2 linked regions of the Xenopus tropicalis genome follow. The main gene of each other region encodes a partner of the protein of the gene in region 2 in a complex. Links are inferred from orthologs where the notes say so. Each region holds a gene or a part of one and is shown on either strand. Other genes may lie near its edges. The genes, in order: pmch and mchr2.

Region 1 (17,791 bases), on a different chromosome or scaffold from region 2:
CATTTAATTTTGCTATTAATAAGCCTAAATACTGTAATATGACAGATATGTAAATTACTTTGATATGTTGATATTTTTATTTTTTTTAAATCAGGTAAAGGCAACACTGAAAAGAATATTTCTTGCTTATTTAAATCTGCTGGTGAACTCTAAAAATGATTTTGCCTTGGCCCAAGTACTTAATTGCCCAGAGAGGGGATTAGGAAGAGAAGCCTTCACTGACCTTAAACACACCTCACGAATGAAGAATATGTCCCTTTTCTTGGTATGTTGTATATTTTTTTCCTGTGTGCATTTAGCTTCCTGCATGCCTTCTGTACATACAGAATTGTTTCCCATGTTATTTTATTAGCCTGGGCATTCTTTTTCTCAATTTGGTTATTGTGCAGATTAATTTTAAAATTCACAATTTTTTTTTTCTTTTGTATGATCATCTGAATTCTGTTAAGGTGGCTACATCTTTCATAAGAACGATTGAGCTTGGAGGTAAAGGTTATGCACCATCTGAGTCAGATCCCTTAAGGAAACACTTGAAAGGACTTTCTCTTTTTGTTCACTTTGTTGATAGACTTAATGAAGTTCTTGGAGAGACAAATGATCCAAGGTAATAAACCTTTTCTGATGTATTATGTTGATATTTTAGCAACTCCCCATAGCTGTTGCATAGCAAAACCTTTCGGTGTATAGCTAGTCAGCTGCATGGGTACGTTTCAAAGCTTCTCTTTGCATTGTAAAATAACCCTTACTATCTTTTGGTGCACACATCAAACCACAGACAAGCAAGGCATTGTGGGAACTGGAGTCTTAGTAAGGAGTTTTGGCTTCCGACAATCTTGCAGTAGTACAAATAGAACAAGTAGTTGAGAGTATAGTTAGGAAAGGACAGGTGTTGCTTTAAATAGCAGTTACATTTGTAATTGACTTCAAAACGTTACTTTATAAATATTTGGTAACTTTCCAATATACATTAATATTTTCAAACGTCCAAATATCCCCTTTAGATATGGTAATCCTATTTTGTTGCAGAAACCTATTCGTTTTGGGTAATATGAAATTAGTTTCTCAGTGTAATCTAGTTGGTAGTGCCACATATGTTTACTTATCTGGAATGTATAAGAATAAGATTTTTGTTTTTTTTTTTAAATGTATCTAGATGGCCCTTTTGGAATAAAGTAAATAGATTTCTAAGAGGTTCTTCACAATAATTTTATTTAAAAAAAAAGCAACACTGTTCAACATCTCTATTTCAGAACGGCAGGGGAGCTGTTATTGTCAACCATCAAGATGCATCTCATAAAAGGCAGAAGCAGTGGGGATCCACTTAGTGAGGCTGCGACTGACGTTGCACAAGACCTGGATCTGAGGATTAAAAACCTTATTAATTTACTTAGTGAGGACAAATATAGTGTCACCCCAGGCATCAGCCCAGCCAGGGTAAACTATTTTTTATCTACTTTAGTAGTACTATGTAATGCAGTTTTTGTTGGTCCAATATTGTTTGTATGTATATATGCCCAGAATATACATTTGAACATATTACATTTGGAAAAGTCAAAGTATACCTAAGGAATGAGTTGTATCACAATCTCTGCACAAAATAGCTAGTGTTTCCCAATATGTTTAATTGAAGAAAGTACACTCTGTGTGTGTGTGTGTGTGTGTGTGTGTTATTATATACATTTTAGAGGGGTCTCTTGGTATTATTCTTATTTCACCAAAATACATGCTTCAATTTCTATACAGGTATGGGACCCCTTTTCCGGAAACCCGTTATCCAGAAAGCTCTGAATTACGGAAAGCCCGTCTCCCATAAACTCCATTTTAATCAAATAATTCAGAATTTTAAAACTGCTTTCCTTTTTCTCTGTAATAATAAAACAGTACCTTGTAATTGATCCCAACTAAGATATAATTAATCCTTATTGGATGTAAAACAACCCTATTGGGTTTAATTAATGTTTTATTGTTTTTTTTAGTAGACTTAATGTATGGAGTTCCAAATTACGGAAAGACCCCTTATCTGGAATACCCTTGGTCCCGAGCATTCTGGATAACGGGTCCCATACCTGTATTACATTGTGACCAATTCTAACTAGGCATTGCTTATGCAGTTATTCCCGTTTGCCTCTGGTCACACATGATAATCTCACACTCCTTACTATTTGTTCGTGTGCTGACATTGCTTCCAGAGACCGTTTGGAACTCTGAAGTGAGTATGTCACCTGTCACTTTAGACAGAGTGAGACTCAGCTGGTTCAATGTTGGGTATCAGAATAGAAAAGGTAATTGTCTGGTGTACAGTGTGTGCCGTAAAAAAACCACCACGCTGGTTACTCGGCTTCAAATAGAAGCCAAGCTGGCAAAGTGTTTTCCAGCCCCACCTCAGGGCTGCAACACTCATTGACTGGTTTCCTGCAAGGCTTTATCCTTTAGGCAATGCTGACATTTCCTGTATGAAAGTCTAAGGAGAGTCTATTTCTGGAAATTGGTCATTTTTATGTTTTTGGCCTGGAACTTGATTTCATTCAATTCTTTTTCTTGACACTTATTGGAAAGCATATACAAAAGTCTCCCATCCTAACTAGAAACCAGTTTTAATATGAGGTGTTCTTGTTTACAGCCTAAAATTCATGCAATAAACCGTGGCACTGCTTCAGGTGGTAGGGAAATGATAAAAACTCTGTTGAAACTTTTGGATGAGGAAGCTGCAAATCCCCCTAGCAAAAACAAAGCAGATCTTCTTTGTGCTGATGAAGAAAATACTCTTTTTGGAGCAGTTTCTCTCTTTACCCTATTTAGGTATGTTTATTATGTATTTCTCTACTTTTGTGTGTATTAAGACATAATTTAAAAGTATTAAGACAATCTATTTTAGAATAAACTTTTCTCTGTTCCATGTCACCATATTGAAAGCCTTTGCTAAGACACTTAAAGGAAAACTATACCCACTAACAATAAATATCTCTATAAAAATATATTGCATACACAAGCTCATATGTAAAACTCTCTCTTATCTAAATAAACCATTTTCATCCTAAATAGAAAATTGCCATTTTAAGAATTAAGGGCCGCTTCCTGGGATCACAGGATTCACAGTGCACACAAACAAGCCAAGGCACACATACATGCTAGGCCACATCAGCCAAATAATGGACAGGGTTCTGTCTTTTGCTTCCTGTTACAGTCAAAGCTGGTCATGTGATCTCTGAGGGAGCACACAGCCCATCACTAAATGGCGGATCAAGGAAAACGATGTAAAAGGGCAATATTTACTGATTTTTATTTATATTCTAGTCTGGCAAAGATTCTTTAATAGGCCCTTTAACTTAACCAGCAGTTTATATATAAAATAACAAGTGTATATCCCCCAGCTTCACTACTACATGGTTTTTAACAGCAATGTAATGATTTGTGTATATACTAATGCTATCTCCTTTTACATTTCGTGTGTAGGTCTCCTGAACAGAAAAATGGTTCTTCCCCCAAACCTCTAAGCCATCGTGTGCAGAAAGCCATGGATAAAAATAAGCCTAAGGTAAACATCTGCAGATTCTCTGTTTATCTTAAATATTCTTGTGTATTCTATCCTTTTTATGGTATTTTTAGTCACATCTAAAACAATAAAATGGAAGAAAATGCATTTGCATACATTTTTTCTATTTGAATGTAATGTAGTAATGTACAGTATAATTACTGGCAAGTATGTTCAGTAGGGGGCTGCTGGCCTCAATTTGGACATGACAGGTTGTAGGTTTAAAAATATCCCACTATGTGCAGTACATCTAAACATTAATCTCACTGGAAGAATCCCTAGATTAAATATTTGTATTCTAATCTTTTTTTTTTTTTTTCCTATTTTTAGTTGAAACAAAACCTAATCAGATCTCAGTTTGCCTGCACCTATAAAGACAGTAATTTGGCTCAAATAAAACAATGGGATTTTCCAAGTCTGAGCCAAGTTCCAACTTGTATTCATCCGGCACCAAGAATTGTTCCAGTGCTTTGTTTTGACGAGGAGCCATTAGGTATGATTTCATTATCTTTTTAACTTGTGTAGTAACTTGGTGCAACTTTGCCTTGGGGTGATCATTCCTTAATTCACGAGACCAGGGGTTATGTAATGAAAGTTTGTTACAGATCTAATCTCGAATAGCAACCGGCAGGTAGCCTTTACTGGACACCTGTGTAAAAGCTAACCTCTTATTTTCATGGTTACAGTGCCTCGGCAAGCTTTGTATTTTTTTATTACATATGGGAAATGGAATATTTGTTTTTTATTGGTTACATGAATGATGCAAACCATGTGGTGCAGGTAGTTCTGGAGAACTTTGTCTGACCTACTGCATTTCTGCATGTGATGAAAATGAATTTTCCCCCCTATATTTATGCATAAATATGACTTTGGTCTTTTCCTAAAATAAGATAGGAAAGATAATGTAACAATGCAAAATCCTTCATTTATTAATTGAGGAAAATAATTCAGATTTACACATTTGCGTGTGGCAAATGTATGGGAGCCTTTGCTTTCAGTAACATGCCTCCTTGGACAGCATTAAGTGCAACTGAAAGTTTTCAGTAACTGTTAATCAGTCCTGCACATTGGCTTGGAGGAATTTTTAGTTCATTCCTCTTTATAACATTGCTTCAACTCACCGATATTGGTGGGCTTTATCCTGTGAATTGCCCATGTATAGCCGTGGCTTTCTCCTTGCAAGCCTGTCATGCACACACCATTGTTCAGTGTTCCCCAGATGGTGGACTAATGCAAGAGGGGACATTACATAGTAACATAGTAGTAAGCTGATTACTGCTCATAATGCCATTCTCCAGTACATAATTTTGTATGTAATCCCTTCAAATAACTTGCCCACCACAGATGTCAAACTTACAGGCCTATAATTGCCAGGCTGAGATCTTACTCCCTTTTTAAATATAGGACACAATATCAGAAACAAAGGCCACTGTAATTCTGACCCTAGCTCTCAGTACCTGAGGGTGTATTCCATCTGGCCCAGGTGCCTTGTTTACATTTATCTTGTGTAACCCTTTAAGCACCATATCCTGTGTCAACCACTGGACATTAGACCAATGCAAAAGAGAACACTAGTTTCTGGGACATTAGCCTGGGATTCTCTGAGATCTTCCAGAGTATTGCACTCCTTTGCAAACATGTGTAATGGTTGACTCATTTAATTTGTCTGTTTATTTATATAGCTTTATAGGACATGTACATTTTAAATATGCTTAACATGTAAATGAGTTGGGCACATCTTCCCCACCCAATTGCATAATATTGTGCTGCATTTATTCACATCTTTCCATTGGTCCCTAGACTGGATAGGGGTATGTTTAGTAATCTATGCTGAGAAGATTCACTGCCTTATCTTGGAAGTGAGCATGCTCAGAAGCCAACAGCCAAAGTTAATTCCCAAGGGAGGGGGCTGAGTTTTTTTTGGAGGAGTGGTTGGTGTTTAAATATTTCAAAGAGGCTGGTTACAGATTATTTTATTTTTGTCAGGGGTTTAAGGGGTTTAAGATGTCCTTTTAAGACTTGTAAGAAATGTGTGAGAAACCGATGAGGAGGATTTAGGACATTTACGCAAAAAATATTGAACATGTTTAAGGGTTTAACAAACTTTCGGGTGAAACTATAGCTGTATAACAGAAGCCTATGATTTTATTTTGCTTTATTTCAGAAAATAGTGATTTACAGAAACAAGAGCTTAAATTAAGTTCTGGAAATATTGACCTGAAAACTGGTGGGCAAGTTAAGAACAAACCATGCAAAAATGTGGCGAACAAAAGGTCAAAGAGAAAGCAGGTGGACATACAGAGTGAAACCACTAATGCACAGGAGAATGAACCCCCACAAAAGAAAGCAGTTGTTGAAATAACATCAAAAAAGGAAAATAAACCGTGTGTACCAAGAAACTGCAATAAATCTTCATCAAAGAACAAACTAATTGCCGGACAAGCTAAATTAACCAGTTTCTTCCGGGTGTAAATTGCTGTCACTGGTTTTAACCCTTCTAGGGGTTAAATTAAATATGTAGGAAATGTTTCTAAAGAGTAGCCTTTCTGTATATACTGTGTTCTGAACCCTGTCACCTTTTTGGAATGTTTTGATACCCAGACATGAGGAGCACCGAACTTCTATGCTTCAGGGAACCTTGCTTTGCCTAGTGTAAGGGAGATCAAGCATCATACTCTGACATGGGTACTTGGATTATGTACTGTGCCAACTGAAAGCTGATTCTTCCCTACCCAGCCCTGTAGTGCAGAGTGATAAAGATGCAGAGACATATTTTCTTTAAAGACCTTGCCTGCATATTTATCTAATTCCTAGACAAGCTTTTGTGTTAGGCCTGGTAGTTGCTGCTTGATATACAAAGTATCTTCTGTTTTAGAAAAAAAAATATTGCAAATTGCCCAGGTGAGCAATTTGAGTATCTATACTTTTCATTTTGTTGGAGGTATTCTGTCTTAATAGCTTCTGTGTCTGCAACTGGCTGTAATATTGAATGTAAATATTTTTATGGCCGAAAATTATTTGATTTATTTTATTTGTAAATACTTTTATACTTTTACAAACAGTTAGGGTTGCCATAGGTTTTTTTTTTTATTTTGTTTTTAATAAAATTACACAACAAATACTGGTGCCTTTCTTTTGCTTCCTTTTTTGTTACATATACGATATGGTATGCAAATACGTAATGTTCATTCAGTCTTTGAAAACACTGTCTTCATATTTATTTTGAGTGTCTTTGCCGATCATATCTGCCAGCAGGGTCGATAGACTCTTCCAAGCATGCACCTGAGCACTGAAAAACAAACACACATGTACCCCATTTTGTGAATTCATCATCCTTTTGTTTTATTATACCTGTGTAATAACATTAACATACTTATGGAAATATATGTGTTAAATGCAAGGGAAAATCTATATAGCTGTTTGCAATAAACATTATTAGGTGCCCCATTGACCCAAAATATTAACTGGACCTTTGGTAAAGGGTCTGTTTCAATATTTTCCCAACACAGTGTTGAAACAGCATCTATTGGACACCTGTGCTAGATGCAGAGAAACTGTACATTTTGCATAGTCTGGTGAAGGCATGCCCTTTGGTCTGTGCCAGCCTTAGCTAAGTAATGGATGTACCAGCTATGATTTGAGTGTACCAAATTGGCCAGTGACTAGTAACACTTAGTAACACCCATGGGAATACTGGTCAGTCATAGCTTGGCAATTATTCTCTATTCTAACACACCAGAGGTATGGGATTTGTTATCCAAAAATCTCCATTATTATCTCTGTAATAATAAAACAGTACCTTGCACTTGATCCCAACTAAGATATAATTAATCCTTATTGGAGGTAAAATACTCATATTAGGTTTGTTTAATGTTTAAATTATTTTAGCAGGTTTAACGTGTGGCAGTCCAAATTATGGAAAGACTCCTTATACAGAAAACCCTAGGTACCTGGCATTCTGGATAACCGGTCCCATACCTGAATATAAATAACTACAAAGTGTTGGGAAATATGTTAAAGATTTGTACGTATGCACGTATAGAGTGCCATTTTAACTTTGGCACTAGGTAATACAGTTTGCTAAGAGAATCTTTCATTTTTTTTCTGTCGTGTATGCAGGTCGCTAATTGGGACTAAATACACCATTAGGCCCAGGGGCCTTTGCAGAGCAGCCTCCTGCTTTCTGCAGTTGTTGTAAACACAGCAAGGGCCCTTGCCTGTTATCCTTTTTACAGACTGTAGGTCATGTTGCAACCTTCAGAAGCCTCTGAAATATGAAAGTATCTGGCATGTTTTCTCTGGTGGAGAATCTGCTGTTTGTTTTCTTCACCAAGCTAATTTTACAAAGGTAGACCTTGGTGTGTATAACTTCAGGAAACATCTTTGTATCTCTTTGTGTGACATTATCCTGCCTGTAGAATATGACTTGGCAAGAAATGATTGGCAAAGCTTTACTACAATTGATTATTAAGTCACTGTTACTAGAATTATTCTGCAATTATATAAGTGGGGAAGACTAATGTTAGCCATATATGTGCACATACACAGATCCGTATTACCAAGATTACCTATTTTTGACAAATGATAAATACTGGTTGGCCATTGACACTGACTCATGTAACAGCCCATAGGCCTACCAGGCACAGAGTAGCAGCACACTTTCACTTTAGACTGATCCATGTTGTGAGTTAAGATCCACATTTGTGGCTAGAGTTCACAAGATCCTATTGATCATATATTCAAGTGAATAAAATAAGCTGACAATATCAGAATTATGCGTTCTACTAATTAGCTGATGCACTGACATAAAAAATTTGAAACCAAATCTGTTCCCTAAGTTGAGAAAAAACAACAAAACTTCATCACCTACAAAGAAACATTCTATCACTAGTTCCATGATACTAAGGGCTCTGGTTCCATTCAGCTAAATGCTAAGGTTTCAGAAATTATATCTTGCAAAAAACGTGGTTTGTTATTTCAAACTAGCAAAAAGTGGTGTGGGAATGAACTGGTTTCTGTGCAACCCTACTTAGTCAGAGGTGCCACAGGGAAACATTTGAAATGTGTATAAATTCAGTAGTTATAATAAATAGCACATGCATGCTTACTGTCAAAATCTCTTCTTCCTACTGGGAATTTTGCAGCATTTTCTTCATCTCCAATATCTCTCCGTTCCTGTGCTGATTCTGCATTCTGATCTTCATTTTCCGAGTGATGTAATGAGTTTCTAAATGCAAGGTATGGCATCTGTTTGATTCCAATGTTTAGTGGAAGTCCATCGTGACTCAAGTAATTTTGTTGAGAATCTATGGTCTGTAAGATAAGTAGAACAATTCTGCTAATATGAGCTTCAACGTATTAAATGCAATTGAAAAAAATTGCCAGAAGAATATCATATAATTAAAGACTTACTCGCTTTAAAGCAGCTATTGCCTAATGCCACTTGATGCAGAGAATATGTAAAATGTTATTTACCTTCATGTTTCTCTCTTCCTCTTCATTTAAGATGTTGCCTCCATCTGTTTTGTATTGGTTGTTTGGATCTCCTATTGGCTTCTCTAGCGTGTCACCGTTTCGAAAAGCTTTTCTTAGTGTAATGGTATCAAGAAGTAAATCATCATTTTCTGCTTTCCTGATGGATTTTGACACAGCAATCAGGAAACCTTGAGAAAGGATGGAGAGTGATATTAAGAGTGGGTATCCTAAAGTAATCATCCTTACCATCGCTTACGTAGGCCTTTGCCAACTATCTGATTTGCCTGCAAGTGATATCAGACAGAGGTGGGAGCCCTTTTATATGGTTTACTGAAGAAAAGCCTCACACAAAAGATCTGAAGACCTGCAGTTTCTCTCAATGAGTCACACAGAAGAAAACCTTTCAATTGTCAAGAGGCCAAAATGTATAATAACTAAAGAAAAGGGATTCTCCTATTAATCCATGAAAAAAGGGTTTTGTACATGTATAGAGAGAGGTGACACTAAATGTTTTTCCCCCTAACAAACAATATGTCCCTAATAGCTTTGTGAATCTGTATTGAGCAATGTTCAATAGCCTACCCTTTATTACACTGAAGTACTTTGATTTAAAACCTTACACACTGTGACCTGTGTGTGTTCTGTTTAGCAGCATAGTTGGCTCTTTTTCCAACTTACTGTGAAGCTTTGTAATTATTTAAATTACATTTTCCAAGTATTCTATGTTGAAATTATGTTTGGACTTAACCCCTGCTGTGAAATGCTTATGTGTTTAGAATCCCTGGTAATATCTGCACATTCATGTTCTTACAGCAAATCTCTCCAGTCCACTTAATGTGTTTCCCTGCTGAAGCCTAGATAGTATTCTGAGATGTACATATATCAATAGACGCAGCAGCAAGCCAGGAAGGATTAGCGCAACTATACAGAAGTGCAATGAGATTGTTTTGGCGCAATTAACTTTAACGAAAGTGGTTTTATGCACAACTGACTGGAAAATGCAGGGAATGCAACTGTGGACATAAATGAGCCCTAGTTAGTAGTTCAGGCCTCTTGTTTTCTTCTTTTGTTGCACTAATCTGTAACACCTTGAGCAGTATGGATGGATGCTGAATTACCATGATAAATGTTCTATTTTACCACTAGCACTAGCACCTTTAGCACTATAGTCTATAGTAGCAGGATTTTGCTTTCTATTTTTTTTAATTTGTTCCTATGAACAACTGCACTGATTCAGATTTCCACTTATGTTGGCAAATAAGCTGACATATCTCCATTGATACAGTACCTCTCAGTTGTGCAGTGTTTACAAATAATTGTCCTAAATTATTATCAGCTTCATTTCATGCTTGCAAGTCAAAGATAGTTTATCAGTAATGTTAATTTTTGTGGACTGACTCAACAAGGATGTTGCTACTTTCACTATGCTGTCAGCTTTAGTATTGTTCCCTGAAAATTAAACCCCAGGTTATGTCCTGAAAATTGGCCCATGGTTTGACTTATGTTCTGTGTAATTACTTTTTCATTAGGCACAAAATAATCTCAAATGTAAAACAGATTCACCTGAATGAAGTAAGGTTATGTATATGCTGTGTATTAAATTTAAACCTCAGGATTTTATTTTTTAAATGGTGTTTTTTTTTAAACTGATTTTCCATTACAGTTGTTACAAATGGAATTAAAAAAAAAAGAGATTATAATGGGGTATATTTATCATGCTGTGTAAAAAGTGGAGTAAACCATTTACGGTGATGTTGCTCATAGCAGCCAATCAGATGCTTTGCTTTGGTTTTCTAACTGTTGACATCTATTTGCTGATTGGTTTCCCTGGGCAACATCACTGGTAATCCTTTACTCCACTTTTTACACAGCATGATAAATATACCCTTCATTGTTATGTTTATTAAATAAATTTCAGCTATACTATTTCTTTGTGGGTAGCAGTATAATCAAGTCATGTGAAACATATATTAACAGAGAGAAGCAGCATAGCCCTTAAAAACATTATTTAAAGAAAATCAAGGTAAAATAAAATAACAGTATTAACCAACAATGGCATTGCACATGTAGGCTTAATGAAAGTTTGGGAAGAGCTGGTTTTCCAGATAAGTATTCTATGGGGTGTATTTATAGTGTTTCGTAGAGCTTTAAGGAAGCTCGTTAGCCTGATATATCTAATGTGATCCAGAAATTGCTGTCTTCATGATGGATGATTTTCCTTCCATTTGAAAGCAATGCAACATCTTTCTGTTAATAAAATTAAATAGGCCAGTCTTTTTTTTTTTTTAAAGAAACTGAACTTTTTAACTCATGCTTTACTGACTTAGAAATTTGGATGTAAAATAATGTTCCAATGAATCGAAGGAAGAGTCTCCTTTCCATTCTAACCATTTTATGTTTAATGTAGTCTAGTATATTGATTAAACATGGATTGCGGTGAGAGACAGGCCACTACTGAAACTAAAATGATCAGCTCAGACTACAGTTCAGTTTTTATTTATTGCAGACATTTAAGTTAGTCAACTTTTACAGAAGATGAATCAGCAGCCGATAAACATTATGACACATTTACTGCTAAGGGAATGGATGAATATCCAGTTTTATTCATTGTAGATCACACACCCTAGTAAGGCAATAGAAATCTCTCTACTACTGCTTTAAAAGGTCATCCGGCAGAATTCTTATTTATTCCACCGACTACTTTATAATAACCTAGTCTGGTCTCTGATGTTATTAGGAGCAGAGAAAAAGAGAAACAAAAAAGGCAGCCTATCAAAATGTAGCTGAAAGCATCTGTAAATATAACTGATTTACTGCTGCTCACATTGAATACAACATTTATTCGCTTTTGAAAAGAAAATATTTGCTCCCAGATGTAAAGATTTAATTTTGGGATTTTTAAAGGTTTGGATATTAACCCAAATAGGATAAAAATAGAAAGTGGTATTTTGAGACAATTTGCAAATGGTCTTTAGCAGTTTTCCAGTTTGGAAATTCATCAGCTATCTGGTTGATAGGGTTGAGGTTACCCCAGCAACCAGGCAGTGATTTGAATAAGAGCCTGGATTATGAAAAGGAGAGGCCTGAATAGAAAGATAAGTAATAAATAGTAGCAATAACAATTACATTGAAGAATCACAGAGCATTCATTTTTAGCTGATGGGGTCAAAAAAGCTAGAAAGTGTTAAAGAAGAAGATAAACAATTCAAACACTATAAGAAATAAAAAATAAAGACCAACTGAGAATATGCCATTTTATATCATACTAAAAGTTAATTTAAAGGTAGACTACCCCTTTAACTACAAAATTAAGAAGGAAAGATTTTCGTGGAAGAAGTTCACATACACCGAATAAAGGCACAAACCAAACATGAACAAGCTTTTAAAATACCTTTGTATTTCTGTAGTTTTATGAACTCAGTGCCCTAAAGGTAAAGTTTACAATCCTTTAATAGAGTTGTTACAAAACTTTTTTTTTTTTTTTATATTAACAATTGCAGATTGTTGGTTATAGTTTAGAAAATCTATGGGAATTCTGCGCCATATTTACAGAATGCCATTCTGTATAATGGCCACAGCAAAAGACTGATTTTAAGGAACAGTTATTTCAATACATTGATCAGATGGAATGACTTAGATAAATAGTGTGACTATTCTGTGCTATTTCTCGAGCACCCTGTGTAGTGCAATATTTGGCATGGCTTCAGTACAGAAGAAGATTAGTTTATTTGTTATCTCTCCAGTCCTTCAACTCTTCTTCTCATAAAATCCAGCTTTTGTGATCTGATTTATTCATTGAAATGTTCACCTTTGTACATATCATTCTCTGACTTTGTAATCCATGGGAAGGCAGAAGAATCCAGCTGTGATCACAAATCCTCTATTAAGCTTCTTTCAACATCATGTTTAATAAAGAAGCTTCTGTCATTTTGATAGATTATGTGTCTTATTTTGTATGTTGGACTGTTCACAAGAGGCTGATACTGGCAAATAGGAGGTGCTCGTCATCTGCAACTTTGAACAAAAAGTCATTTTTAATACAGACATCAATGTGAGAAGAAAAACCTAAATAGCGTTTTCCAAATATTTCCAAATATAAACAATTATTTTACAAATAATAAATAGTAAGTATAAGTAAATAATAAGTAAAGTTTATGCATCATAAAATAACACAAACAAATTTATATCTATATTTCAGTGTTGTATATTAAAGGAACTATAGATGCGATTAGACCTTCCCTCTTCAGTCTCTCAATAGGTTTTATAGTCTGCTTTCTATGTCTTCATCATAATATAATTAACTCCATAAGAAAGGGCAAAAAAATCCTCGGATATAGTAGCACAGAATAGATATTGGTGCAAAGAGGTTACTTATAAGCAAATCTGTCCTTTTTCAATTTGCTGGAAAATTCGCGAAATGCGGAAAATGATGCACATAAAAAAAATTGTTGCACGAAAAAGGAAAATTCAGACTCGTCAAAAATGAAAATGGTACAGTTTAATTTAGGGCTACATCCCTCTAATGTTATAGTTAAGAAAAGAAAGAATATAACAATTCTGTGTTTGGTGTCTGTAATTGTTATTCCTTGCCTACGATCCACAGTTTAACATTTAAATGCCATATACTGCAGTTATAGGGGATGGGAGATCTTTGTATGACATAAACCTATAATTATATGACTTCCTTAAAACATTGGGAATACAGTGGGATACTGAGGCATAACTACATACAAATTAAAGGCTAGAGTCACAGTGGCTTATCAGTTTGAATGAGACCCAGGAGTAGGGTTCTGTTATTCCCCAATAACAACATTGGCATCCAGCATAATTTCTACCAGCCAGGAGCCATCCCTACCCTGAAGCTCCCATTAGATTAGCATGTTTGACTCTGGGTAATGTTTTAACTAGTAGACAAGTCTCTATTATATTGTGATCTAGGCTTTATAGGGGAATTAAACCATTCCATAGCTGTTTTTTCCCACCCATGTTGCTGCGATCTTCTCCAGGACCTTACTTTGTGTCTCACTTATCCCCATTGCTTTAGTTTAGAAACTCTTGAGGCCAGTGACCTTATTCCCTACTGTGTCAGTTTGTCTGTCAGTTGTTATGTTACTATGTTGGTGCTTTGTAAATGAATGTAGTAATAATATTATTAAATGTAGGTTAAGAAATACTGCTAAATACTGCCCAGAGGTTCAAATGATTCAAAAGTAACTTTTTGTAAGGGTGAAGACACATGGAGCTACCAGTAGCAGCTACTTGTAGTGGTTACTAAAATAGACAATGCTGATCATTTACTGATAACTGTCTCTATGTGTGTTTTAGCAGAGGCAATTCTCAGTATTGTCTATGGCAGGGTATTTTCTGGTGTTTAGTAGTTGTGAAAAAGTAGTTGCTACAAGCAGCTCCGTGTGTCTTCACCCTAAGAGTACTGCCTGCTCTGTTTACACTTGACTATCTCATTGATGAGGGCATTTTCACATGTTTTCTAGATTTGAACAGCTCAATGTCCTCCTTTCTAATGCTTGATTACAACATAATGTTGGCAAGCAAAAATTGCATCTTAAAGGAACAGGAACACCAAAAAATGAAAGTGTATAAAAGTAACTAAAATATAATGTGCTGCTGCCCTGCACTGGTAAAAGCTGTGTGTTTACTTCAGAAAGTCTTCTATAATTTATATAAATAAGCTGCTATGTAGCCATGGAGGCAGCCATTCAAAAGAGAAAAGGCACAGGCACATAGCAGATAACAGATAAAACACCATTGTATTCTACAGAACTTTCTGTTATCTGCTATGTAACCTGTGCCTTTTCTACTTTTTTTCCAGCTTGAATGGCTGCCTCCGTGGCTACACAGCAGCTTATTATATAAATTATAGTAGTGTTTCTGTAGCAAACACACCAGTTTTACCAGTGCAGGGCAACAGTGCATTATATTTTTATTACTTTAAAGCTCTTTCATTTTTTGGTGTTACTGTTCCTTTAATATGTTAATATGGATGTGCCACCTATTGGTCAGGCAGGTTTAAAAGCCAAGGTGGATGAGAACTGCATTGAGATGTTGATGCAATCCTCTTATGATAGGTCAGCATAGGTCTATTGTGATCTAAATCTTGATAAAACTGGCTAGATCTTGTGTATGGCTCACTTTAGGATCAGACCTGTGGGACATATTCACTTGTGATAAAAAAAAATTGGCATTATGTTAATGTTACTTGGCGATGCTTTCGTTTTGAATCTTTATCTAATTTTGCTTTCTGGTTTAAACTTGTCCTTAGCTGCAAAGGATCATTTTCATTAGGATTAGGTTTGTTTCTCATTTGATCATTTGTTTCTGTAAACCCACACACAAACCTATTGTAAAACCTAATTGTACTTAGATCACTTTTGCACTAGATGGAGCTGAAACATCAATCATTTTTAACAGTTTACTGTAACAGTATTTTTAATAAGGTAGACCTGAGACCACAATGGCTAAAGCAGTGTGCAAAGCATTTCACATCACAGGTTAATGTTTGGACTGCTGGACTGTGGGAAAACTTCTTTTATGCAGGAAAGCAGCACTTATTGCTTTAGCCATTAACCAAGCACAGTAACGTGTCTTAGAACAAAGATACTGGAATTATTCCAGTGTTTGTTTATAGGATGAACAGTCTTTTCATAATGAGCTTTCCTTATAAAGGACATAAACCTTCCCCAAAACATTCTTATTTGTGCCCCCTAGCTTTGTAAAGCTACTCTACTCTTCTCTACTGAGCATCATCCCTACCAACACTAAAACAGAGGTATGGGTATTATCTAACATAGTGGGATTCAGACAGATATGTAAGATTGCATATTTTTTATTTATATAAAACTATGGAAGATGTTTGCCCCCTGTAATATATATATATATATATATATATGCCACTGCAAATAATGTATCCCTACATACACTGTATATTAAACCTAAGTCAATATGCAGGAGCAGTTTTCCGACATCAAAGATGCTGAGAGCAGCAGCGGACAATAAAGACATGTAATATGTAGTCTGAAAGTGACAATTTTTGCTGATGATACAAATTAGAGATTATATTCAGATCAGTATACAGCCTACACAAAAAAACCCCAGACAACAGTGCCCACTTAGTTAGCAATGGATTCTCCTTGCCTTGGGGCTAATGATTTTGCTAATGGTATACCCAACATACAGTACATATGTTGAAAAGTATTTAAACTCAAGAGGTCTAATAGAATAATGGCTGTTCAGCACAATAATTATTTTATTAACAGAGATACAGAAGTTGTTCTACAACAGAACATAAAAAGGTGATTTTTTCACTCATGGGAGATGCTGCTGGGTCACTTGTTTGAACCAAATTTTTTGAAATGTTATTTGTATAATTTGATTCATTGTGAGTAATGTAATACATGGTCTTCCTATTTTTCTAGTAACAGCATTTACAGGTCAGCTGTTTGGAAACACACATCTGACTGGTTGCTATTGATTACTAGATGTGGTCAGACTTAAGACTTTTTACTACATCACCCTGATTATTGTATCTTTTTTCTTTATTGGTAGTACTTAAGAGCAAAGCCCATTTTAGGTCATATACAGAATTATTTCACAGCTGTGTACAATTAATTGTATAGTTACTGGATTTTAAAGAAGACATAATAGATGAGCTTTAAAGCATCTTGATATAAAGGGGCAATTGGCACTTGTGTGTATTACAGTTGCCTAGATGATGCTGGCTTGGAAAACATAAATAGCATCATTTTTAGGAAAAACACATTGGCGAGCTGAGAGTTCTTTGGCATTCATTATGTGATATTCCCTTTTCCTTTGAAACAATTTGCTGACTCATATGAGGGTTACAAATTAATCTTGTACATAAGTAATCTATTGAAGAATTCTAAGATAGCCCTAAACTATATTCTGTCCAAAGCAAGGACAATTCTAACTATATTAATGTTACAGTCCCCAGTTTCCAAAAAAGAAGATTCCTTTGGGAAGTCTCTCACTCATACTATTCATCATTTAAATTGCCCATGTAACCCAGAGCTGACAATATTGTCAAATCTGTATCTATGAGTTTGTATCAACTGCATCTCATATGGGTCCCCAGCTATATATTTGTGTTATTCTTACTCTTGGTATAAAAAGCTATTCACAATGCCAATAGTCAATACAAACATGCTGATAAACACACATGGCTGAATAACCCACATACCTGTAGGACATATTCAAGCATCAAAAGTGTTTGTCGTGTTTCATATTTTTGACCTATACTCACATATGCTCATATGTTAACAACTGGCTTTGGCAGATGGCAAATTGGCCATCTATTTGTATTTCTGGCCAAACCTTCTACCAAATTTCGCCATTATTGAGGGGGGGGGGGGAATGGGTGCAGTCAAATGATTTGGCAGGAGGAGGGAGATTTCCCTATAACCAGTATTTTTATTAATTCCTTCATTCTCCTTTAAATACTAAGGGGGAGATTTATTAAGACACAAACGCTCCGAGCGTTCGTTTGATCGGAGCGTTCGTGTTTTCTGTGACTTTTTCGTACCTTGCGTATTTTCGCAGTTTTTTTGTTATTTTACGCAACTTTTTCATACTGTGCGTTAAAAATAACGCAACAAAACTGTATTGTCGTAACGAGTACAAAAGTTTCGGATACATTCAAGCTTCGGTATCGTGACTTTCCTTGGGCCAGGTTGGAGCTGCAGAGTGCCATTGAGTTCTATGGGAGACTTTCCTTGGGCCGGGTTGGAGCTGCAGAGTGCCATTGAGCCC
Region 2 (16,406 bases):
CTCTGCTATGACACTGGCTACAGAAGCTTCACAAAACTAATAGATCTGAAGAACTGAAATCACAATCCGTGTGATACACAAAAATACACTCAAAATGTTTTTTTTGGGCATGCGTTATCCAAAAAGAGCACTGTAAAGTTTGAGTTTTTGTTAAGCTGTGTGTATTTATATAGTGCTATAAGAAGAACAGTAGTACTCCTAAATGGTGAAAGAAAAGTGGCTTATTCGTTCCACAAACTGGGCAATGATTTGGGATTCATCAACCTTTGAAGGGGTTTTACAATAAAGGGGCTTTGCCAAGGGGCTTTACATTGCAGTGATTCATACTGATGCGATAGAAACAATATGCATACTAGTTTCACATCTCTTCCATAAAAATTCCCAGAAGTGAAAAACCCCATAAGGGCTTTCCATGTATCCATATTGTCCCTGACATACTGCCATAGTAGTCCACAAGCCACCCAAGTAATTGAATTTCTCTAAGAATCTATAATCTTCTGAAAATCAATAATGAAAATCTTAAGTAATGGCAAACAGTTGCAAAGAATAGTTCAGAACTGGCAACGAGTCCATGGCAAAATCAAATAGGTTAGCTACAGAAAATAAGTTTTTAAAGAAAACTTCTCCTCCTAAACTTGGCATGGAGGAAGAAGATCCTGTAACTGTAGTAAAGCCCAGAAAAGAAAAGGGCCCAGCAGGGCCCTAATTAATTAATTGATATTGATGTTGATATATATTAGTAAATCAGGTCAAGTTTTTGGTATTTTGGGAAGCCCTTAAATTAGTGCTCAGTAACATCTATTTTTGCCATTCTGTAGGATGCGTTAGCAGTGTTAATGTTCTCATGTAAAACATGTATACCGGATAGTTTGTATACAAGTACAGTCTTACAATGTTAACTGAAGAGCAATTGTAAAGATAAGAGAGCAGCCATTAGAATGTTCAGATGTACATCACAGCAAGAACATTTTGTGAACAGCTGTACTGACAGAGAGATAACAGCAAGGATTTATAACTTAATTTTTAGATTGGATTTTAGGAAAGGATTTTTTAACTTAAAGGGATCTGTAATAATTTTATGGTGTATTTTTCATTTCTAAATTACACTGTTTACATAGCCAATAATTCAATCTACCCTATTATTCTTGAACCAACAAATGTATTTTTTTAGCTGTAATATTGGTGTGTAGGCAGCCATCTCAGTGCATTGTGCTGAGTCTGAGCTTTCAGAAAGAGCCAGCGCTACACATTAGAACTGCTTTCAGGTAACCTATTGTTTCTTCTAATCCCATTTAACTGGAGGAGTCCCAAGCTGGACTTGGATTTCTTACTATTGCATGCTATTCTGATATCTACTGGGAGCTGCTATCTTGCTACCTTCCCATTGTTCTGCTGATCAGCGGCTGGGAGGGGGGTGATATCACTCCAACTTGCAGCTCAGCAGTAAAGTGCGACTGAAGTTTATCAGAGTACAGGCCACATGTCTGTTTTTGAAAAACAGATTTAAATGCAGAATTCTGCATGGAGAAGCTCTATTAACTGATGAGTTTTGAAAAAAAAACAATTTTTTTGTTTTACCATGACAGTATTCCTTTAATTTTTACATTGGCGTGTAGGAAACTATATTACCATTTATATCTGTCACCAGGGACCACCAGGGGACCTAAATGGAGTCACAGCGGTGACTGGTTGAAGTATTTTGAAATAGAGACCTAGGAGGCCTCTGGCTGGGAAACAGACAGGAGTCAACAGGACAGACAGTAGTATTAATTAGAAAGGGAAGTTTGAGAACAAACTTCATGTTGGGTTGAAAAACATGACGTCACTGAATGGGCTCTGCCCACTTTCTCTGACCTTGGAGCACAGTTATATAGTAAAAACCACTGTGCAAAGTTTGGGGACCCTGGTTTTAATAGTGTCTGAATGGCAGCAATTTAAATTTCCCCACTGAAAGTCAACAAGTGACATCTGATTGGCGGTTGGTGGCTCCACCCCCTTTTTCTAACCTGGAACTGCAGTTACCCAGTGACTAACTCTGCAAAGTTTAGGGACCCTAGGATTAATAGTTAAAGAACGGCAGCATTTTAAATTTAAACCAATAAAATTCAATGGATGAAATCTGATTGGCCCAACCCACTTTTCCTATTTTTGAACTGCAGTCCCCCAGTGACCAACTTTGCAAATTTTGGGAACTTAGGCATAAAAATAGTGAGACTGACAGCATTTTACACTTCACCATTGAAAGTAAATAGATGAAATGTTACTGGCTGTTGGTGGCTTCGCCCACTTTTTTCGAATTTTGAACGGCAAACACCCAGTGACTAACTCTGGAAACTTTAACAGCCCTGGAATTAATATTTAAATAATGAAATCAGTTTAAATATAAACCAATGAAATCTAATGGGTGGAAATGTATTTGCTGTTGGTGGCTCCACCCACTTGTTCTAACTCTGAATATGTAGTCACCCAGTGACTGACTGTGCAAAGTTTGGGAACTTTGACATAAATAGTGTGAGAAAGGCAGCATTTTAAATTTAAACAAAAAAAATCAATAGGTGATGTCTGATTGGCTGTTGGTGGCTCCACCCATTTTTTAAAACCTAAAAAATGCAGCCCCCTAGTCACCCTGGTGTTAATACTGTAAGAATGGCAGCAGGTTTAAATTCCCCATTGAAAATCAATAGTTAAAATATAATTGGCTGTTGGTGGCTCCACCCACTTTTTTCTAACTCTGAACCGCAGTTACCTGGTAACTAACTCTGCAAAGTTTGGAGACCTTAGTATTATTATTTAAAGAATAGCAGCAGTTTAAATTTAAACCTATGAAGTCTATAGGTGAAATCTGATTGGTTGTTGTTGGCCCCGCCCACTTTTCTAAACTTGGAACATAGTCACCCAGTGACAAACTGTGCTAAGTTTGGGGACCCTGACATTAAACATGTGAAACAATGAAAGAAATGTGATTGGCTTTTGGCGGCCCCGCCCACTTTTTCTAACCTTGAGTACGAAGTCACGCAGTGACTGTGCAAAGTTTGCGAACCCTGGCATCAAACCAATAAAATTCAATAGGTGAAATCTGATTGGTTGTTGGTGGCTACGCCCACTTTTCAAAACTCAAACTTCAGTCCCCTAGTGACCAACTGTGAAAAGTTTGGGGACCCTGGTGTTAATTCTGTGAGAATGGCAGCAGATTGAATTTCCCCATTGAAAGTCAATAGGTAAACTCTGATTGGCTGTTGGTGGCTCCACCCACTTTTTCTTACCTTGAACCACAGTTACCTGGTGCCTAACCCTGCAAAGTTTGGGGACTCTGGGGTTATTACTGTGAGAATGGCAGCAGGTTGGATTTCTGCCAAGTCCATAGGTAAAATTTGATTGGTTGTTCATAGCTCCGCCCACATTTGGGCATCCAACAATCATCATATTTTCATTCAGGCTGACCCCATGACTATGTGATTCAACTTTGGGGAGTGTAGCCTCAAAGCTGTAAGATTGGCAGCAGTTTCAATTTTCCCATAAAAGTCAATGGGTAAAATTTGATTGGCTGTTGTTGGCCCCTCCCACTGTGTGGTTTTTTTTTTTTTAAAAAACTTGAGTGTGTAGTCACCCAGTGACTGGCTGTGCAAATTTGGGAACTCTGGCTTCAAACCAATAAAAATCAATAGGTAAAATTTGATTGGCTGTTGGTGGCTCCGCCCACTTTTCAAATCTAAAACTGCAGTCCCCTAGTGACCAAGTGTAAAAAGTTTGGGGACCCTGGCATTATTACTGTGAGAATGGCAGCAGGTTGAATTTCCGCCAAATCAATAGGTAAAATCTGATTGGCTGTTCACAGCTCTGCCCACTTTTGGGCATCCAGCAATCATCATATTTCCATTCAGGCTGACCCCATGACTATGTGATTCAAGTTTGGGGAGTGTGGCCTCAAAGCTGGAAGATTGGCCGCAGTTTCAATTTCCCCATTAAAGTCAATGGGTGAAATTTGATTGGCTGTTGCTGGCCCCTCCCACTTTGGGGTCATCCAAAAAATGTTGCTGTTTCATTTGGGGTGACCCCATGATTATGTTATTCAAGTTTGGGGGTGTAGCTTCAAAGCTGTAAGAGTGGCAGCAGTTTGAAAATCTTCCCTGTCAAAGTCAATGGGAAAATTGGGGGGTTCGGAGCGGCACCACAAAAAGACGGGGGGCCGGATCGCTTAGAAAAGTACAAGCAACCTGCTCTGCTATAGGGCGAAGCTGTGTGGCGAGTTTGGGTGTTGTACCCCTAAAACTGTAGGAGGAGTAGTGTTTAGAAAATGGGGGGCGCTAAGAATAAGAAGAAGAAGCGGAAGAATAAGCCAAAGTCGAAGAACAGTATGTTGGGGTTTTCAACCCAACATAACTAGAGGTAGGCCCTAGCATTTGAAGGCAAGGCAGGAAGAAAGTCCATGGCTAAACTGAGTTTCACCAGCTCAATAACAAAACCACTGAGACAGGACTATCCTCACAATCTCTAAACTGTTTAACAATTCTATTGCATCCTCCATATCCTTTAACTCGTTCTTATCCTGTTGCTTCAACACAATCTTACTACTTAAAATATCTGACAAACACTGTTACATTTCGGCATGCTGAATTTATGGGACAAAGAAATATACCCACATGAAATAAATGCACGGGTATATGTTACTAATTATCAGCAGGTTCAATAGATTTTCATTCATCCTTTTTTGAATATGAGTTATCTTTTGATGCATGTTCCTTAGCTACAATCCTTCAATCATAAAGACTGATCCGTAGGGAAATCATTTATAGAAAAGAGATGATTAATGCATCGCTGACTCTGACTGAATTTATTCTATTAAAAGTCCAGTCTGGAAATAGCTGTCTGTTTATCTTCTCAAGCCTGTCTCATTACTGACAAATAGTCAAGAAATTATAAATAACATGAAAAGGAACCCAAATGATAATTATGGAGAATCATTTCCCTGAATGAATACTTTTTCATTTTGATATTTCATATGAAGATTACAGCTAATGTAGAAAATTTTGAACTATTTTACTTACTTAGGACTCTAGTTAATAAAGGCTGAACTTTAAATATTTTCTACCTCAAAATCCACTGGGAAAGAAGGGGAGCTGCATATACCTATCCATTTCCAATGCTTTTTTTTTTGTTTTCAAACAATTATTACAGGACAATAAACAATACTATACTGAATTGCTCAACCACTGCATTGTTGGGACTACAAGTCCCAACATAGTTTTATTTGTTATCAAGATTAAGGGGTATATTTATCATGCTGTGAATAAAGTGGAATGAAAAATTACTGGTGATGTTGCTCATAGCAGCCAATCAGATGCTTTGCTTTGATGTTCTTTGGCCTTGCAATGTGAGTTGAAAGTCTGCCCTTTATTCCCATGTTTGATTATGGCAGTGATCCCTAGCCAGTGGCTCGTGAGCAACATGTTCTTTACCAACCTGCTTATTTTTTAATCCTGGCTTGAGGGTAAGCTTCTGTATATTGCATTTTGTCCAACTGGTGGAATGTATATTATGCATTGTAATTGTATTTACTGTTCTGTGAATATTTTCCTTATAAAGAGCATTATATGTTAAACATACCATTTTCTGCCTTTTGTGGTTAGTAGGTGTGCATTGAGTAACTGATTGATTTGAAGGCAAGCTTTAGTTACATCAAAACCATAAGTATTGTCAAACAGAGCCTCTTATAGACTGTCTGTCCACATAGGGGTCATCAATAGCCCATATTTGAAACTTTGGTTTCAACAACATACTAATAACATAATAATAACATACTAATAACATAATAATAACAACATAATAATCTCTGTATGTAAGATAAATGCAGAATTCCTGGCATAGTGCATAGTAAGTTTCTGGTCAGTATAATTCACATTGACAAATTGTTTTCCATGTGTAATTGTGTTTTATTGTCAACTTCTTATGAGAACTAGCAGGAGCAATGGGACAGACTGAAGGTTTGGTTTAGTTCCTTCCTAAAAGCATGAAGCTTCCTTGGAATGCTGATATTTCAGCTGATCTCTTGTATATTAAATTGTGAGTAGCAGGGTGCGAATTGGGGTGTTTAGTGAGAAATCCTTGGAGCAGTCAGGAAGACTACAATTTCAAAAGTGAGAGATTTGTGTACCTTGTAAAAAAAGCAGTCTGTCTGTGTTGTTTAGAGTAAAGTCCAGACAAGATCCTGCCATTTTGTGTACATGTCTTTTTTTCTGCGTAAGAACCCAAAAAATCAAATACAGTCATCCATAATTCCAAGGAACATGTTTCAGCAAATCTAAATCTTACAATCAGTTGTGGCTTTAGGATTTGTTATCTGTTCCCCTACTCAGTGGGCAATTCATTTAACATTTCTACAGCTTCATTATCTTTCCTAATTAGCTGGCAAGATGTTGCCTTACCAGCAGGCATTTCTACTTCTCCATGCAAATTGTGTATTATATTTGATTACAAATTTTCTGTTTTTAGATGGAAATGTGTATCTCTCAGAGCACCACAGAGCAAGTTACTGGATTAAAAATTCACACTTTATTCATCAGTACAGAAATGATTCTCATATCACAGACCTATACACTTGACCCATAGACTTTTGTAGCCTTCCACTTTCTCAACATTTCTATTTTTAGATCCCTATATTTTGTTACTTACTTTCTTGCTATTTTCCTTGCCAGGATAATCAAATTTCTTGTGGCTTTTTGTTCTTGTTTGCTTTTTTTAAAGAGTTATTATAGATGTTGCTATTTACAATGTTACCAGGAGTGGCTTTTTGCCACCCTTGGTGACTTGGACCACTACCACCTAAAGTTCTCAACTCTCCTCATGGCAGAAACACCACTCCCTCAGGGGTGATGCAAGAGTTTTGAATCCTGGGACTTTTTTTTTGTAATACCAGAATTATTGCTGGGAGAGACGTAGGGGAGAGATGGACAAGTATTATAGGGTTATAGAGAACAGGAGAGAAGAAGAAAATAGGGGAAACAAACAGAGAAAATAAAGGTAGAGAACAGTAGCAGAGGAATGGTGAGAGGATGATATATATTAAATAATGTGGGGTAATATAAAATATGCTGTTTTACTACACACAATATGCAGGCAGGGTGCCGTGTTTGCAGAGGCTGAGAAAATTCATATGCACTACTACACATACTTGTAAATCTTTGCATATTGAGTATCAACCTGTTCAGTACATTAAAATAGCCAAATGGCTTTGCTTTAAAGTGAGTGAAACCAGAAGTGTTGGTGGGCAAGGTGTATTATATCAGTGGTCATGGCTTGTAATAGTAGGAGGGGCTTATTTTTGGCACGCCTCTCTACGTGCAGTGTACGTAACATCCCTCCACTTTTTTCACTCCAATTCAAGCACTGTGTATTGTGCAAGTGAATGATCATAATGTGTCTGTATATTTACAGTCTGCACAGTGACATTCACTTTTAAACTCATGAAAGTAATATACTCCTTTTTATCATATATTTATTATTCACGCTGTTTATACAGTGTTTTATAAAATATGCTGACATGTACATCTTTGGCAACTGTGCACATAAATGCAATTGCCACATAATCACAGTAAGGTAGGCTGAATAAGGCTGTTTTAAAAACCAAAACAGCTCAATCTCTTTTTATACAATCTGCATCTATATTATAGAATTTTGGACAGATGATAGTCCAAATAGTTTTATTATACAGAATCATTGTTGAACACATCATATAAATACACTCTCTATACACATTGTAATAAATATGACTAATCTAACAGACTATCCTACAAGTGAACACAAACTTAAGTCCTATTAGTGCTAACAAAATAAATATGGTCATTTTCTGGCACTGTGGATATTCATATGCTTTGTATTTGAATTTTTAAAATGCAGAGTTATCTACTGCTAACTTAAAAGGAAAAGGTATATTTTAAACTGCTCTATATATCAATTACAAAATTATTTATTAGCATTCTAGAGCCTACAACCCTTTGGGAGTCTAAGCAAGTGGTGAATAGTAATTAAGATAGCTATAGTGCAGGTATTATATCATTATTGAGGCCAATCATTACATTCCTCTACTTGCCATCTGACTAGGGACCCCATTGACTATGCATTGGTCTTATATAACTTTAAATGATCATGAAAAGCCAAGACTCAATGAGGTGCCTTAGGGTTAATCATCCCAAGTGAGATGCTTATGGTATAGGACCTGTTATCCAGAATGCTTGGAGATATTTCCATAATTTGGATCTCCATACCTTAATTCTACTAAAAAAAATTTAAACAATAAATAAACCCAATAAGATTGTTTTACCTCCAATATATTTTTGCTGGGATCAAGTTCAGGATACTGTATTACTATTATTTCAGAGAAAAGGAAAAATCTGAATTATTTGATTAAAATGGAGCATATCGGAGATGGCCTTTCCGTAATTCGGAGCTTTCTAGATAACAGGTTTCTGGATAATGGATCCCAAAAGAAACATAAGAACGGAGAATGTCTATCTGAAGCATCAGGCATACAGCCATATCCTTTCTCCTACTGAAATGAACAATAAACAGGGTTTTCCAACAGGCTGAGATAGGGAGCTATTAAACTATTTTAGTATTTATTCCTACATAACTACTACTGTGGTTTACGTACTGTAAATTTAATAGCTGTAATTAGCTCAAGTCACTACTAATTATCCACAACCCCACATCATTCATTGTTTCACTGATAAGTTAATGGCACACATGTAAATTTCAGGCTTTGCATTAAGTAGCCCAAAAATACAGTGCCAACGCACCCCAGGTAAAAAAAGACTTATGCAAAGGGTTTGTCAGGCAATAGTTGCCTTGAAAAGCAGCAGTCCACTTAGGCAAACTATTGCCTGCCAAGCTCTTCCATAGACACTTATAAGCCATTCTTATGCAGTTTAATAGGGGAAGTTTAAATTACTTTGGCACCAAAATGGGCTACTTAAAACACAGTAATCAAAGCACCCAAGGTCAGCCTTTCATTATTGCATAAACTATTCTCCTTTCCTGGACATTTTACTTTTAATTTCACAAAGTATATCCACAGAGTTCTCTCTACTTGTTGCTAACACAAATTGATAAACAGCCTTTTGTGCAATTTACATTTACAAAACAAAAAGTAAAACATTAAAAGCTGGATTTCAAAGTATCTATATAATTTAGCTCCCGCTCTGACATTCTGATTTTCGTTTTGGTGCAGTCAGAAAGTCTTTTGCGGAAGTTTCCACTAAGAAGAACATAAAGGAAAGGATTAATGCCGCTGCTGGCATAGCTGAGACAAATGGAGCAATAATAGCTAACGTAGAAAGTTAGTGATGGCTGAGAAATCTGAAGGTTCACAATCTGTATCACATGGTAGGGGGCAGAACTGACAATATAAACCCCCACCAAAACGAGTACCATTTTGGTAAGACGCAGGACTCTCTGTCTCGGTATGCTGTTGTTGTATCTGAAAGACAGAAAAACAAATCTTTAATACTGCATGGCTTTCATAACTGTATCTTATCATATTTCAGAGGTTTCTCTATGGATAAAACCTCAGATAAGTCATTCAATATGGAATAAATACAAGCTTTCTAGGGGGGAATTTCAAAGTGCAGGGTGGTATGAAAAGTAGAAAAAAAACAGTCGCAAGCATGTTTGCACCCTGACCCACAATTACCACCACAGACGCAGGAATTTGTGCACAAAAATGACATTTGGCGGCACTCTACTAATAAGTGGCGGGCTGGGGGAGGCATGCATTCTCCTTTACTAAGTTACCTAGCTTGCTCTCTGCATCTTGCACAATGCCCCAAACATAAGTGCTGGGTAAACAAGCACTAAGTTGGGCGATTTTGTGCAGCTTAGTGATTTAGAAATTGTGTCTGGGGTTACAAACATCTGATTGGTTGCTATGGTTTACTAGATACAGGCAAATGACACAGACTGTAGACATATAAGTAGACTTATATGACTGTTAATACATAACCCCTTCATAGAGCATTCACTGGCTCTCTAAAATAAGCATCTCACACAGATGGAATATGATGCTTTCGAAAGAATCCTCCCTACCTCCTTTACCCCAGTCACTTTGCTATTATCTAACACAAGGAGATTACTCTGCAGTTTAGGTGTGACAAAATTAATTTGGAATCAAATATCAAGTTGACATAGAAGTGTTTGGGTTTTATTGCTAGAAAATATAGTCCAATGCCTGCATAAACATGAACAAAAAACAAGGTGCCAATGGTACACAAAAGAACCTCACTGCAACATACCCTTGGGTCTCTATTTACCCCTTTTTAATGGATGCCATTTATTTCCTCTCTGAATAAACTGGAGTAAAAGTCAAATATGTTAGAATTATAATGATGCAACCACACAATTCATGGACACACCTGGGCCTTTGAGTTAAAATAATGGCATTGTATTGATTGTTATTCTATTATCAAATACCATAAAATAACATACACTAAAAGACACACATACTAACTACTGGTTTTTCACAATGCATGTAACATTACTATCTTGTCTACTGACACTATTTCTTAATGTAACGGTACTTTGTATTTATCTGTACTTATTATTGTAGTGACACCATTTGTTCTATTAATGTACTGTTCTGCTGTACAGTGCTGTGTACATAAGTAGCACTATATACAGTAAATAAAAAATAGATATAAATACATATTATCCTGTCCTTAAGATGACCTTTCCAACCACACTGGTAGTATAATAATATAATTACTATTATATAATTAAAGGAACAGTAACACCAAAAAATGAAAGTGTATAAAAGTAATACCAATATAATGTACTGTTGCCCTGCATTGCTACAACTGGTGTGTTTGCCTCAGAAAGACTACTATAGTTTATATAAGTTAGCTGCTGTGTAGCCATGGGGGCAGCCATTCAAAGGAGAAAAGGCACAGGTTACTTAGCAAATAACAGATAAACCCCCATTATATGTGGCTTATCTACTAGTTATCTGCTATGTAACCTGTGCCTTTTCTCCTTTATTCCAGCTTGAATGGCTGCCCCCATGGCTACACAGCAGCTTATTTATATAGTAGCTTTTCTGTAGCAAAAACACCATTTTTTTGCAGGGCAACAGCACATTATATTTTAATTACTTTAAAACACTTTAATTTTTTGATGTTACTGTTCCTTTAATATATTGCAGACATAGTTTTGGTGATATTTTTTTAATATTTACTTAAGGAGTTAGATTTATAATAAAATTAAAAATGACTAGCACCAATAGAGTATATTTACTCAAACATATACGCATATCACAAATGGTATCAATCTCTGGGCCAGCTTGCCATCTTTTTATCCCATGAGCACGCACATATGTTGCAAATTATTTCTTAGTGTCTCTCCCCCTCCTTGTACCACAACTGTGCGCATTTGTAGTGGCTCCCTACACATTTTGGATCACATAATCCATCATCAGGGATTCCATAAATACAGAGGGAGCCACTTAATGTTTGGGGGAGTCAGAATTCATTATAATATGCACCATAGGTACACTGTATTTTTTCATTTATATGAAGATCTCTGCTTTGCAGTAGATATGGCATCTCTATGAACAGAAAGTAAAGCTGCTAGAGGGCATGCTGGTCAACATTTTAAGATATAACTGCATTATTAAAGTTAAGGTCACCCTTAACCATATTACATTTTTATTAAGGCAACTTTTTTTTTTTTATTTCACCAACCTTTAAATTAAATTTATGTTGTGTTTTTATACTGTAATATAAGTCAGTGAACTTTATCACTTTTTTCCTACCTGAAGGTAAAATTGTAAAAGCAACAAAGTTTTATGAATCATATCAGTTTTAGTTCTTTTTCTTATAAAAAAGTCCCTTTGGCAAGGTTGGACTACATCGTCATTTACAAGTACAAATACATTTTAACATTATGTGTGAACACACACAATAATGCTGTACGTGAACAATTTCTTGCCAGGAAATAATCCTTTATCTTTTATCATCCCTTGTATATTGTAATATATGATACATTTAGAACAATGCAGCCATGCCAATTTCAGTGGATTATGGATATTGTCCTAGCTATTCATATATTTCATGGCATGCATTACTGGGAACAGATATTTAGGGATGCTACTGGAAGTAATAGAAAAGAATAGTCAGTATATTCCACCAGTGGTGTTTATTTATAGCTGCCTTCTACAAATCTTTTTTCCTTGCCCAGCAAAGTGGTTGAAAAAGTGATAAATCCTAGTAACAAGAATATTTGTTCAGCCTTAGTGCTCCTTAAGAGAGATTTTTTCCTTCAGTATGGTTTTAAATCTTATCCAATTCATAAGTTTTCAAGCTCCAAGTACTTTTTCACATAAAAAAGAGTCTCAATGGTTATACACAGTATTTGTTACCTCTGTTCATGGCCTACTTTCCTGGCACAAACTATTATTAAGCAACTATTATTTTGAAAATGGCTAAATGCTGTTGCCTTTGGGTTTTGATTGAGAATGCCATGAGTGATGGCGAATCTGTCCCGCAAAAATTTGCAAAACTGCTGAAAAATTTGCAAAATGCACCTTTTTTGATGTGCTCAACTTTTTTGACACGCCCGTGATGAACTTGACACAACCATGATTTATTTGATGCAACCACAACTTTTTGATGCGACCATGACTTTTTTGATGCGACTGTGACTTTTTCCTCACCAAAATTGTGCTGCAGTTTTGCGAAAGAAATCGGCAATATCGAAATGCGGAACTTCGCTGTAAATCCATGCCTGGCAAAAAATTTGTTCATCACTACATACCAATCATTCTCATCAGAGCAATTGCAGGACTGAAATATCTGCTGTCACTAATCCTTCCACTTTGGACAAGTGAAAAAAAAGTTGAAAAAACCCTTGTGATTTCCAGTAGGTGTCACACACAAGTGGTGCATAGGGATGAGTGCAACCATGAATTTTGTGCCTAAATTTCACAGAATTTCGCTGCTAATCCATGCCTGCTTAAAAAATGCTCCCACATTGGTGCTCATTGCATCTTCCCATGTGCACGCAGATTTGCTCCATTTCTTAAGATGATTTTGAACTGGAAATAGAACTCCATGGTATTGTGGCACCACAATGACATGCCATAATTTTGCCAATTATCCCTATTTAAACTGTGGCTAGGCATTTGCTCTTCATGCTTTGCAGGTCAAAGTTATTTTGTTCCTAGGTGCTTTCTTAAGATTTCAGTCTGTCCTAGTATAGATCTAGTACATTTATCGAGCTTCAGTCTCATTCCAGTCTTGCTCCAGTCCTGTTCCTTTTGAAGTTTCAAGCCCACCCTTTTTGCGTAGCATTAATTTTTCTTGTGTCTTTGCTTGAATGTCACTTGTCCAGTCTCTAGCATGTGACCCCACCTGTCTCCAATATGCAGATATGGTGTCTAGTTTTTAAATCCTTATCCAAATTATCCTTTGTTTATAATCTTCACTTTCCTTTGTGGACTACCTCTTCCAGCTGCACAGCATAGAACCCCAGGATCATGTATGAACTTAATTCAAAAGCACATATAAATGAATGGACTGATTTAAAAAAAGTAATTCCCAAAATGGTTATTTTGGTAGTAGGGACAATTGGAAATAACTTAACTTGTCCCTTAAACTCCAATGGAATAGTATCAAAAGTGGTGATGTTTTGCTTATTGCTCTTAATCTTCACGTCTCCATCTCATCTCAGCCCTAAATGTCACTACCAAGGTAATCATTAAAGGTGAAAATATTTATCTCTTACCGTCCTGCAGATTTGTTTTGATGATACATCTCCCATGTGTAGCAAAGGATTAAAATATAACACGCTAAAATAAGTGGTAATGGAAAGAAAAAAGTTGTGATGGTCAAGTAAAGTGTGTACCTGCAAAAGAAACATACGTGACTTCATAAGTGAGGGGTATAAAAATGACACCTTTTATTAATATACATAAACAATGACCCTAATAGGAGGGAAGCAAATTATGGTATTTCTATAATATGCTTTAAAGGGTAGTTTCCTTTAAGTATGATGTAGACTAGAGATCCCCAACCTTTTTTACTTGTGAGCCACATGAAGATGTAAAAAGTGTTGGTGAGCCACGCAAGCATGAAAAAAGTTTTTTGGGGATGCCAAATAAGCAATGTGATTGGCTATTTGGTAGCCCCATGTGAAAACTATGTCTCTGTGCTTCCAAAACTTGCCTCCAAGCCAGAAAATTAAAAACTGGCACCTACTTTGAGGCCACTGGGAGCAACATGTTACTCACAGGCCACTGGTTGGGGATCATTGATGTAGACATTGAGACAATCTATAATAAGTCTTCATTTTTTTATTTTTTTTAAGCTATTTATCTTTGTGTTCAGCAGCTCTCTAGTTTGATATTTCAGCAGCTTTATGGTTGATAAGGTCTTATTTGTGCTAGAAACCAGGCAGTGGTTTGAATAAGAGACTAGTATATGAATAGGAGAGATGCTGAATAATAAGACAATTAATAAAAAATTACTATATCATTTTAGCTTTCCAGAACAATCATTTGACTGTGGGGTCAGTGACCCCCATTTGAAAGTTAGAAAGGGGAAGAAGAGGGAGGAAAATAATTCAAAAAGTATAAAAATGAAATAATGAAACCCAGTTTCAAAGTTGCTAGAAATACTATAGGGTATTCTATAATATACTGGAAGTTTTTAGAAAGGCGAACCACTTTAAATATTCATACACTAGCAAGGATCCAATATACTCTACAAGGTATGCTTATCTTTTTGAGAGTTTTAATCATCAACACCTGAATAAATAAACAGAAAGGCTCTGTTTTATTACTAAGGGGCACATTTACTAACCCACGAACGGGCCGAATGTGTCCGATTGCGTTTTTTTTCGTAATGATCGGTATTTTGCAATTTTTTCGGAAATTTTCGCGACTTTTTCGTTACCAATACGATTTTTGCGAAAAAACGCGAGTTTTTCGTAGCCATTCCGAAAGTTTTTGCGCAACTTTCGGAATGGCTACGAAAAACTCGCGTTTTTTCGCTCAACTCGCTAATGAACAGTACTGTAGGGAACATCAGAGGGATTAACAGAGAGGGGTGTGAAAAAGGCACCAAGTCATCATTACGTATTTATTGTAATTGACTAAATTCTTCCAGTAACTTAAATGAATCTATTTTTTCAATTTTTCCAGCATTAATGAAATACCTATGCACATTTTAAAGCTTACCAGAGAACATCGTTTGGTGTTGTTAAATCAAATGCACAGCTTTCTAATCCATCTTTGAATTGTATAACTTTGGAATATACCCACACTGGAAACACCACAATAAAAGATGCTGCCCAGAGCAAAACATTCACTCGAATAGTCTTTGATATAGTCCTCAAGCTTGTAAGCCGAAATGGTTGTACAAGGGCCATGTATCTGCAGGAAAATAAACCAATAATGTATAGTGCAGTGAAAATGTCCAAGTGTGATGTCAATGTATAAAATTGGCATGTATTTATGTATTTTATAAGATGCATATGAGTAAGATACGCAATATATAGGCATGGATAAAAGTTTGCATTTTGTAAAAAGAAAAAAAAAAGATTTTACATCACCGGCACATAGTAATATTTTTAACACAACAGCTACTCCAGCAAAAAATGAGTGGCAGTTTTCTGTGCAACTGTTCACACCCAGATAGCAATATAAACTAAATTTCCTGTAAAGAAGAACTCCACACAAACACAACGTAAGCTTTTTGAAAAGTAAATATAATTTGAAGCAACTTATACAATATATTGCAATATACATACATTTAAAACATATGCAGCCTTTTCATGATTTTTAATATAACAATATGGTTTGGTGCCCCTTGTGGCACAAAACGTGTAAGGCTTTTTTGTATATTGTGCATAGATTCAATAAACTAAGACTGCTTTTAATATAAACGGAGCTGCTTTGAGATGTTTTACATTTGGGTTATCTGGAGCGCCAGCCTACTTTCTCAGTGTGTATTTCTGGTTGGCTCCCTAAGCTGAGGGTCTAGGGCTGGAGCACCCGGACCCACCGTAACTAAGGGGTATATTTATTAAGCTGTGTAAAACAAATTTCCTGAAAAACGGCGTAAGAACTGTGTAAAATAAACGGAGAAGATCGCCGTCTGAATGCCAGATTTTACACCGTGTAAAAAAATTACGCAGATTTTACGCCGTTTTTACACAGCGAAGCCTGGCGATGTGTGGCGAATTTTCTCGTCGTTTTTTACACAGCATAATAAATATGCCCCTAAGTGTAAGTTATATACTTCGTATCACGATATAGCTTGTTTTTCATTTTTTGAGCTTTGGAACAGTTACCTAAGCCTGTTCTCCTGCTGATCTGGCTGACTACTTTGAGACTCAAAAACATGTAACAGTAGTCGACTGCC

Evidence for each region.
Region 1: the proteins of mchr2 (region 2) and pmch are in contact, whole or in part, in a cryo-EM structure (PDB 8WST), measured with the Homo sapiens proteins. The link is inferred for Xenopus tropicalis from reciprocal best matches to the Homo sapiens genes MCHR2 and PMCH. Residues at the interface, in NP_001035269.1 of Homo sapiens: His82, Gln92, Trp93, Gly96, Gly97, Thr110, Asp113, Gln117, Ile175, Phe177, Val181, Ser183, Cys184, Ala185, Phe186, Leu188, Thr189, Ser190, Pro191, Val194, Tyr197, Thr198, Tyr267, Gln271, Asn274, Met277, Glu278, Gln279, Pro280, Phe284; in NP_002665.2 of Homo sapiens: Leu151, Arg152, Cys153, Met154, Leu155, Gly156, Arg157, Val158, Tyr159, Arg160, Pro161, Cys162, Trp163.

The regions. Positions count from the first base shown.
Region 1 is NC_030679.2:49,139,834-49,157,624, forward strand, and holds pmch (pro-MCH), read right to left. Parts: upstream 9,300-17,791; 5' UTR 9,257-9,299; coding exon 9,008-9,256; intron 8,846-9,007; coding exon 8,641-8,845; intron 6,822-8,640; coding exon 6,772-6,821; 3' UTR 6,595-6,771; downstream 1-6,594. Other genes in the region: parpbp (PCNA-interacting partner), read left to right, coding at 95-265, 450-604, 1,251-1,434, 2,621-2,799, 3,454-3,535, 3,863-4,025, 5,697-6,004. UniProt on the Homo sapiens protein: MCH may act as a neurotransmitter or neuromodulator in a broad array of neuronal functions directed toward the regulation of goal-directed behavior, such as food intake, and general arousal. May also have a role in spermatocyte differentiation.
Region 2 is NC_030681.2:81,852,352-81,868,757, reverse strand, and holds the end of mchr2 (melanin-concentrating hormone receptor 2), read right to left. Parts: intron 15,416-16,406; coding exon 15,221-15,415; intron 13,888-15,220; coding exon 13,768-13,887; intron 9,473-13,767; coding exon 9,151-9,472; 3' UTR 9,029-9,150; downstream 1-9,028. UniProt on the Homo sapiens protein: Receptor for melanin-concentrating hormone, coupled to G proteins that activate phosphoinositide hydrolysis.